Ovis aries: one gene and its partner. The protein of the gene in region 1 purifies or fractionates together with the protein of each later gene. This does not show direct contact. Links are inferred from orthologs where the notes say so. Each region holds a gene or a part of one and is shown on either strand. Other genes may lie near its edges.

The links.
Region 2: the proteins of STAT3 (region 1) and PIAS3 purify together in Homo sapiens (affinity purification with western blotting; 5 studies listed by BioGRID). This does not show direct contact. The link is inferred for Ovis aries from reciprocal best matches to the Homo sapiens genes STAT3 and PIAS3.

What each region holds. Positions count from the first base shown.
Region 1 is NC_056064.1:42,220,235-42,224,511, reverse strand, and holds the start of STAT3 (signal transducer and activator of transcription 3), read left to right. Parts: upstream 1-1,474; 5' UTR 1,475-1,649; intron 1,650-4,277. UniProt on the Homo sapiens protein: Signal transducer and transcription activator that mediates cellular responses to interleukins, KITLG/SCF, LEP and other growth factors. Once activated, recruits coactivators, such as NCOA1 or MED1, to the promoter region of the target gene.
Region 2 is NC_056054.1:99,195,479-99,199,785, reverse strand, and holds the start of PIAS3 (E3 SUMO-protein ligase PIAS3), read left to right. Parts: upstream 1-1,506; 5' UTR 1,507-1,604; coding exon 1,605-1,628; intron 1,629-3,491; exon of another isoform or gene 3,492-3,539; coding exon 3,540-3,957; intron 3,958-4,115; coding exon 4,116-4,200; intron 4,201-4,307. UniProt on the Homo sapiens protein: Functions as an E3-type small ubiquitin-like modifier (SUMO) ligase, stabilizing the interaction between UBE2I and the substrate, and as a SUMO-tethering factor.

The DNA.
Region 1 (4,277 bases):
TATGGGAGAGCAATAGGAAACTTGCAGCTCCACCAGGAAAGACCCTACCATTTACCCTATAGATGCTCTCACCTCTTTATTTGCATATATGGTGGTCCAAAGGTCTAAACTAGGGAACCAGAAGAATTTGTGAGTAAAATGTCATGCTGTGTATTTCTGGGACTAGAATCCATAGTCTCCAACAAACTCTCAGATTCCCCAAAGGTTAGGAGTCATTGATTTTCCCACCAGAAATTAAAGAATAGCTATCCTTGGCGAGAAGGACTGGTGGGGGAAGGAGGCATATTTTCAGTTTTAATTTTCACGTTTTCTGAACTGTCTGAATTTTCTAACCACAAACATGTGTTAGTTTCATTGAAAAAGCTGTCATCAAGGTTTATTTGGGTGTTGAGATAACAGGCCCTTTTTAGATTTCATCTTTAATACCTCTTTGTACTAAACAAACACTAATAGCTGTTATTTTTAAAAACCCTAATAGTCTTACACACACACACACACACTATAATGCAAAGAACATCTATTATGTGAGGTGAAATGTCTACATTTCCTATAAACTACTGGTTAATGCAGTAAAACTTTCATTCGAAGTAGATGAGGCGAAAAAGATAAAGGCACGCAATTTCAAGTATTTCAACTCAGACGCATAAAAACAATGTGTATACGTGTCATTCTTCATTGGTACTGTCTCCTTATTCCCTTGAACCTGCCAATGTGCGAGCCGTTGGCCTTTGATGCTTGAAGCGACGGAACGAAGGGCAGGGTTAAATCCACTACCTTCTCCCCACGCACTCTAGTAATTACTCTATTTCCACGTCATGTTTCCGGGTGTGTGTGTCCCGACTCACGCAGAAACTGAAGTTCAAAGCAGGCGGGAGTAACCCATGTTCTTTTTGCTGTCCCCAGAAACCCATTTCGGGCGTTGGGCCCCTAAAGGATCTGGCGACACCTGAGGACTGTCTAACTGGCTGATTCCCACGTGGTAAGTGCCCCCAACCTTGCCCCCACGTGGTGCCAAGGGCCGGGAAGAGGGAGAGCAGGCAGAAGGGAGCCGCATCAGGGGCATTTAAAGTGTCTTGACGTCACGCACTGCCAGGAACTCAGCTGAGTTTTCAGCAGGACATTCCAGTCATCTTCCCTCCCTCCCCCCGGGCTCCTCTGCCCAGGGCCTTGGTTCTTCCCCAGTTGTTGCGGAGGGAGGAGCCCTAAGAGTCGGAACAGCCAGAACAGGGGCGTTCCCAGCCTTGTATTGGCTCCGCCCTTCCACCCAGAGGCTCTCTTCATTGGCCAGTGGGTGGGGCTTCGGATGTAGAGTCTGCTCAGCAGGGCTTCTGGGTGGCCGAGAAAACTGGTCATGTTATGAATTATACATGAGCGGCGTGCCTAGGCCAAGCGGGGGCTGGGCGGGGATTGGCTGGAGGGGCTGTAATTCAGCGGTTTCCGGAGCTGAGGCGGCGTAGACAGGGAGGGGGAGCCTGGGGTTCCGACGTCGCCGCGGAGGGAGAGAGCCCGAATCGGATCCCTGACGAGCACCCCAGCTCCGCGCTCTCCCCGCTTCTGCCAAGGGAGACTCCGCGGCCTGAGGGAGCCCCGCGGCCCGCACCCCGGCGCAAGCGCAGCCCCGGCCAGTCGGGCCTCAGCCCGAGCAGCAGGTGAAGGGGGTTTAAGGGTGGGGCTGCCCCCCGACGGCCTCCAGGCCTGGGCATCCCGGGGGAGGAGGGGCGCGCTGGGAGCTTCTGGGGTGTTTGGGGGAGTAGTGAATGGAAACTTCAGTGGGGTCAGGGGGATACGAGGAGACACGGAGAGTCGCTGTGAAGGGACAGTTCCCCGGGATGACAGGAGCCGACCTCTGAAGGGACGGGGTGCGCTGGAAGGAAGTTTCGTTCTTTGGAAAAAGGGGAGACGCAGAGGAAGAGAGAGAATGGACTGGAGGGGGAGGACCGTGGGGCGAGGGTACTCTAGGGTTGGGGGGCAGGAGCGAGGGACAGCCCCCCGACTTCCTGCTCCCTGGGGCTCTGGGGACGTTCCGGCCACGGGAGCCACTGTCACGCCGGCGGAGATCACGGAGTGGGGGGGGGGGGGTTGGCAAGCGCCTCCTCCCCGCCCCTCGGCGGGCCCGGCGTCTCCCGGCTGAGCCACTTCCTCCGCCTTGCCCTGTTCCTGCTCCTTTAGGAGCCAGCTGTGCCCCCCTGGAGGAGGTAGGAATAGGTGTCTTCCCTTTACAGCCTTGCGGGCTGTTTGGTTATGGGTAGGATTATTGCATAAGATTCAAGTTTCCTGTAGGGAAATTGACAGCCTTGTACTCTTTCTAAACTCCCCCCAGCCTTTTTCTGGGGTAAAGTCGTGTTTCCCTTCTCCCTCTTCCAAAAAAAATCCAAATAAAACCCCCATCAACCCAGCTCTAAAGAGAAATAAACCTTTTTCCTCCTTGACATTGTTCTTTTATAACCACCTGGTAAACTTGGCCAGAAGATAAATAATTGAGCCCTTGCGTTTACTGGATTGTGGTGTTGCTTAATTGCATAGAACAGAATGAACCAATAGAGAGTGGGAGTTTTCTGTCTCAGAGCCAAGATCTTGGGTAAATGCGGAGAGAGAAACAAAGACAGGCTGGCCTTGGCAAAGCCATGTGTGCAAACTTTACCTGTGTTTGGGGGTGTGGTTGCACTTCAGTTAGCTTAATTCAAACCGTCACCTGAGTGGTTTTTTCCATGTTTAGTCCACATCTTTCTGTGTTATATCAAGTGGATGCATGATATTGACACACTTATTCTTATTAAAAATGTATATAACATGTCCTTGCTGGTTGGTTAAATAAATAAAGGGCATATTTATTCTGTGTGTGGGTTGTAATTTTTTGGTTGGCTGAGCTAATACAGCATTGGTTTGAAGAAATCAGAACTGTAAATTATCTCAATCTTTTATATGTGGATTTAGACTGTTATGACTTGATTTAGCCAATTTTATGTTTTATATCAAATATGTCTGTACTCCCTGAGTCAGCACATTTATTTCCTTATTACATGTGCCAGGCTGAGCAATGGCACCCCACTCCAGCACTCTTGCCTGGAAAATCCCATGGATGGAGGAGCCTGGTGGGCCGCAGTCCATGGGGTCGCTAAGAGTCGGACTCGACTGAGCGACTTCACTTTTACTTTTCATTTTCATGCATTGGAGAAGGAAATGGCAAGCCACTCCAATGTTCTTGCCTGGAGAATCCCAGCAACGGGGGAGCCTCGTGGGCTGCCGTCTGTGGGGTCGCACAGAGTCGGACATGACTGAAGCGACTTAGCAGCAGCAGGCTGAGCTACTAGTAAAATTTTTGCAGTGACATTTGCACAGTGGGATGGAGGAAAGAAGTCTTTAATACCAAAAAAAAAAAGAAATTGTAGATGCTAGAGGCTTTTTTTGTGTGTATTTATTATTTATTTATGGCTGGATAGGGTCTTAGTTGTGGTGTGTGGGTTCAGTTGCCCTGAGGCATGTGGGATCTTAGTTCCCCCACCAGGGATTGAACCTGACTCCCCTGTATTGAATGCGCAGATTTCTTAACCACTGGACCACAAGGGGAGTCCCTGAGGCTTGACCTTAATCTCTATATTTGCTAGCATATCTACCACAAAGAACCACTAGAAAATTCATAAATCTTCTATCTTTATATGTAGTTCTTTTGGGAAGAATAGCCATCTAGAAATATCCATAGTTATGACTTGACCCACAAAGGGTAGATAGTTCATGTAACCTTAACTCTGCTTTGAAGATAAGGAAATTGAGGTGTAAGGAACGAGACACTTGCCCAGGCAGCAACATACCATAGTGATGGAGCTTGTACCTTCTGTATATTTTGTTTGCTTTTGACTATCTATGCTTAAGTATTAGGTCTTAATTTAGAGTGACTGTAGGCCCTACTGGGAAAAGTGTCAGTGAAATTCTAACACATACCTAGACCATCAATATCCTATAAGACTCCAAGGGAGATATTTAAAATAAACAGGTGAGTCCCGTTTAGGTTATTACAGAATATTGAGCAGCATTACCTGTGCTATACAAAAGGTCCTTTTTGATTATCTCTTGTAAAATAGCAGTGTGTACATGTCAGTCCCAAACTCTCACTCTCCTTCCCCTCAGGTAACTTTTTAGTCTGCATAATTTACCATCAGAATTTAGCTATTTGCTAATGGAAAGAGAGATTTACTGAGGCAGGTTTGTAGGTGAAGGACAGTCATGACCTAAATGTCATTTAAACCAAAGTGTCTTGTGGCTTAATCAGTGGTCATTTG
Region 2 (4,307 bases), on another chromosome or scaffold:
TCTTTCTGTATGCCAGTTATTGGTTTAACCATCTGGCTGCTGCTAGGCTGGAAGCTCCTGCAAGGATTTTATGTCCTCACCACCTAACAATCTTTGAACAGTAATCAAATATTTATTGAACAAATGACATTATCACTTAGGTCCCAACCAAGTGCAAAATGCTGTGTATTTTTCCAATACCTAGTTTGGGTAAACTGCTCTCAAGTTGGTATTTTCAAGGGAACTGGGTCTATGGCTTTGGAGGAAGGAGAGTAGGCAGTTCAGAGAGAGGCAGAAAAATTGCCCTTTCTCGGTGAGAAAACCTCCCCTCCATTCACCTTCAACTACATTAAAGCTCTTAAGTCTCTGGTGACAGTCTGTGTATTTGAGGTAGGGAGTAGGGGACCACAGGTGGAAGTAGGGTTTAGGTACACTTCGGATTTTAGCAGTTCATGTTTTCTTTCCCGTAGGGAGAGACTCACTGTAAGTAGCTACCTCTTTAAGCGATCGGATTTCTGGTCCACACCGTCTTATTTGCAGCTTACTTCCACTCAAAACACATAGAAGGGTTTGCTTGCAGGGAGTCAGAACAGTAGTGAGAATGGTGAAATCAAAGAACGTCTCTCCCATCCACTCCCTAGAGGAGTTAATTTCTCCTCCGCAGGCTCAGAGTCCCGCCCTCTCCCGTCTCAGACTCCGCCCCTCCCCACTTCTCCGCTGTCCTGGCGGGCTCATCCAGGAGGGGGCGGCCCCAACCCTAGCGCTGGGCCGGGCCGAGCTCCCGCCCGGGCGGAGCTGCGGCTGCAACGTCCAGCTGCCGGACCGACCTCCAGCCGTGCAGACCTTGGGAGCAGCGCCGGGCCCCCTCCCCCCCATCTCCCCAGCCCACCCTCTGAGCGTCCCGAGTCCCCTCCCCGCTCCCTGCAACTGTGCTGGTAAGTCCCACTCTCGGCACGAAACTTTTTTGCTGGCGAATTTGAGCCCTGCCGCGGGACCATGAAATACAATGTAACCGGGGCGGGGGGAGGGGGTGAAGAATTGAGAATAGCCGTCTTGAAATAAACTATTTACGACTCCTTGGCGTCCCTAAAATGGATCAGGTCTCACCCATTTCCCGAGTTGGTGGAACTCTTGAATTTGGCTGGTTAAACTTGTAGATAGGGAAACGAGGGGGTTTGCTCCAACTTCGCTTCCCCCTCCCCCATTTCTCTGAGATTAAGCCCTTCTCGAGACTTTTCCCTCCATATCCCAAATATCTTTGGCTTTCTCAAAGCTCATCCCTTCCCGACTCCGGCGTGGCAAGGCCCCCCTCCCCCATGTACTTCGGGTTCACCTCCTCTCCCATGCCACCGGGGACCCCGCGATCCTTCGGGCGGCACACTCCCTCCGGGTCTACGGGTCTGGCACCGCGGCCAAAGACGTGCAGCGGCTGGGTCCGGCTGTGGAGGGAGGGGCTGAGGCCGGGGTTCGTCCGAAACCCGGCGGGCGGGGCCGGGAAGGGGAGGTGTAGGGGGCCGGACGGGGCGGAGCAGGCGGCATTTGCGGCCGGCGCCGGGGTGGAGAGTTGTGCGCCGGTCCCTGGGCCTGAGCTCCGGCTCGGGCTCGGGCGCCTGCGATGTCTCAAGATGGCGGAGCTGGGCGAATTAAAGGTACCGGCCCCCTCCCCCATCCCCATCTGGACTGAGCCGGGCTGTACGCCGAGTCTGGGAAGCGACCGAGACTGGGTGCTGAGGGCTCGGGTGGGGGCTGGAGACGTGGTGGGGACTGGCTGCTGGGGATGGAGAGAAGTGGCTGTGGCGAGGAAGGGGCTGCGTGGGGCTCCGGGGGCGGGGCCGCGGGGCAGATGTAGGGGTGGGGCCGAGGGGAATTGCAGCTGTTGGGGGCCGAGGCTCAGGGGGCGGGGACGCGGGGTAGAAGTCGAATTTGGTAGTAGGGGCAGATGTAGGGGTAGGGCGGGGAGGAAAAGCTGCTGTGGAGGCACAGCGGGCGAGTCGATCGAGGCCTAGAGAGGTGACAGTAGGGGGCAGGTGATGGGAATGGGGCTGGGGGGCCGATTACCGGGAGGCTCCTGGGGGAAAGGCGCTGAGAGGATAGTGACTTTGGGGCTGCTGTTGGGATCTGAGCCTTGGGAAGTACCAGTAGGTGGCTGAGATCTAGGGGGCGGGGCTGTACGGGGATAGATCGAAGGGGTGGGGCAGAAGCATCCTGGAGGCTGAGAGGAAGGTCCTGCCTTAGTGAGTCGGTATCTCTGGGCAGAGAGAGAGAAGTGTTAGACTATGGGATTGAAAAGAATTTCTTGACAAAGCTAATGGAGAAATAAAGACAGGACCGAGGAGATAAGGATGAGGGTAAAGGTAGAGGAGCAAGTTTTTAATTATATTCCTCAAAAGGGGCCCAAAGCCATAATGCCTCCATAAGAATTGCAGATGATTAGCAAGATTGGCCCGTGGCAGGGTCTCCTGGAGATTCACAGAAGTGAGTTCTTTAAGCGGAGAGCTTACCACTACCAGAATCTTGAGGATAAATAACCATCTTGCAGAACCTTTAAAAACCATGGGGTTCACCCCCTTGCTCCTGGCTTTATTCTGCCTTTTGAAATGGAACCAGAGTCATGGGAAGGCCTGAGGTCTAGTCACTGGTTCCAGTTTCCTAGGAGAGCATGCAGTTCTGCAGTCTGGCTCAGGGGCTGATCACCTCCCTATTCTTCCAGGGGCTCTCTTTAGAGCTTTCCCCTCGTTTCTTCCACCCCTGTGGAGGAAGGGAAGAATCACTTACTTTCTCTGGGTAGGAGAGAAGCAGGTTATTAGTTCCTGGCAGATGGAGTAAACAGGTAAACAGGAAGGATACCTGGACTCCACAATTCACTGTTAACCCCTCACCCCAAGTTTTACTCCTGTTTCTCTCCCAGAAAAAATAGGACTGAGGGATGAGTAGTTATGTAAATAACACCAAGGAAAGGTTTGGGAAGTTATAAGCATTGAACCCTGACCTGGCCACAAAAGCTTGGGGAAAATAGCTGAGGTAGATTGAGGGGTGGAAAGGAGTTGATTTTGAGGCACAGTCCTCCAGCCACCTGGCCCCTTTCTTCTCTGTGGGGCTGTCTGGCCTGAATCCTCTTCTCCCCTTCCTCCCCGTCTCCTGTCCCCTTCCCAGGAGGCTAGGATGGGTCTGAGAGTCTGCGAAAGAGCAGGAGAGGAGATAAGCAGCTTAAAGGAGAGTCCAGGCTCAAGGCAGGGTGGTGGGAGGAGGCTGTAGTGGACTCAGAGGTGTGCTGTAGGGTGGCAGGCACCCTGCGCCCACATGGTCAGCTGATAAGATGGGGAGACAGGATTGTTCAAGCCTGGGGGGGTAGTGGAGAGGTGACCTGAGGGTTGCTAGGATGGGAGCTAGATGTCCTTTTGGCTAGGTGGGCAGTTTGGCAGCAATCCACTGGCTGCAAAGCATCTTTCAGATCAGTGCTGGAGGGAAAGCACATTCCCCACCTAATAGCTCAGCCCTGGTGTCTTTGGCAGGACAGGCCTGTGCAAGGTAGGATCCTCAAGCTTCTCTGATCTCCACAGCACATGGTGATGAGTTTCCGGGTGTCTGAGCTCCAGGTGCTCCTCGGCTTTGCTGGCCGGAACAAGAGCGGACGGAAGCACGAGCTGCTGGCCAAGGCCCTACACCTCCTCAAGTCCAGCTGTGCCCCCAGCGTCCAGATGAAGATCAAAGAGCTTTACCGCCGACGCTTTCCCCGCAAGACCCTGGGGCCCTCTGATCTTTCTCTGCTCTCCTTGCCCCCTGGAACCCCTCCTGTAGGCTCTCCTGGTCCTCTGGCTCCCATTCCCCCGGCCCTCTTGGCCCCTGGCACCCTGCTGGGCCCCAAGCGTGAAGTGGACATGCACCCTCCTCTGCCCCAGCCTGTGCACCCTGACGTTACCATGAAACCATTGCCCTTCTATGAAATCTACGGGGAGCTCATCCGGCCCACCACCCTAGGTATGGCTCTTTGTGGTCCCTGGGTCTTCCTGGCCTCCCTGCTTCTTCCTCAAGCCTTTCTTAGGCTTTGTCCTGTGGGCTCAGCAAACTGGAATAGGGGCCACTTCTGTGGCCCCCTGGGCACGGGCTTGGGAATAACTGCCCCTTTGTGTCCTCAGCATCCACTTCTAGCCAGCGGTTTGAGGAAGCGCACTTCACCTTTGCCCTCACCCCCCAGCAAGTGCAGCAGATTCTTACTTCCAGGTTTGTCTCTTTGAGTCCTCCTGCCTCATCCTTGGGTGGTTACCCTGAGACTCCGCTCTCTGACTTTCTTCTTTTCTTTTTTGCCCTCCTTCTCACCATTCTCCTGC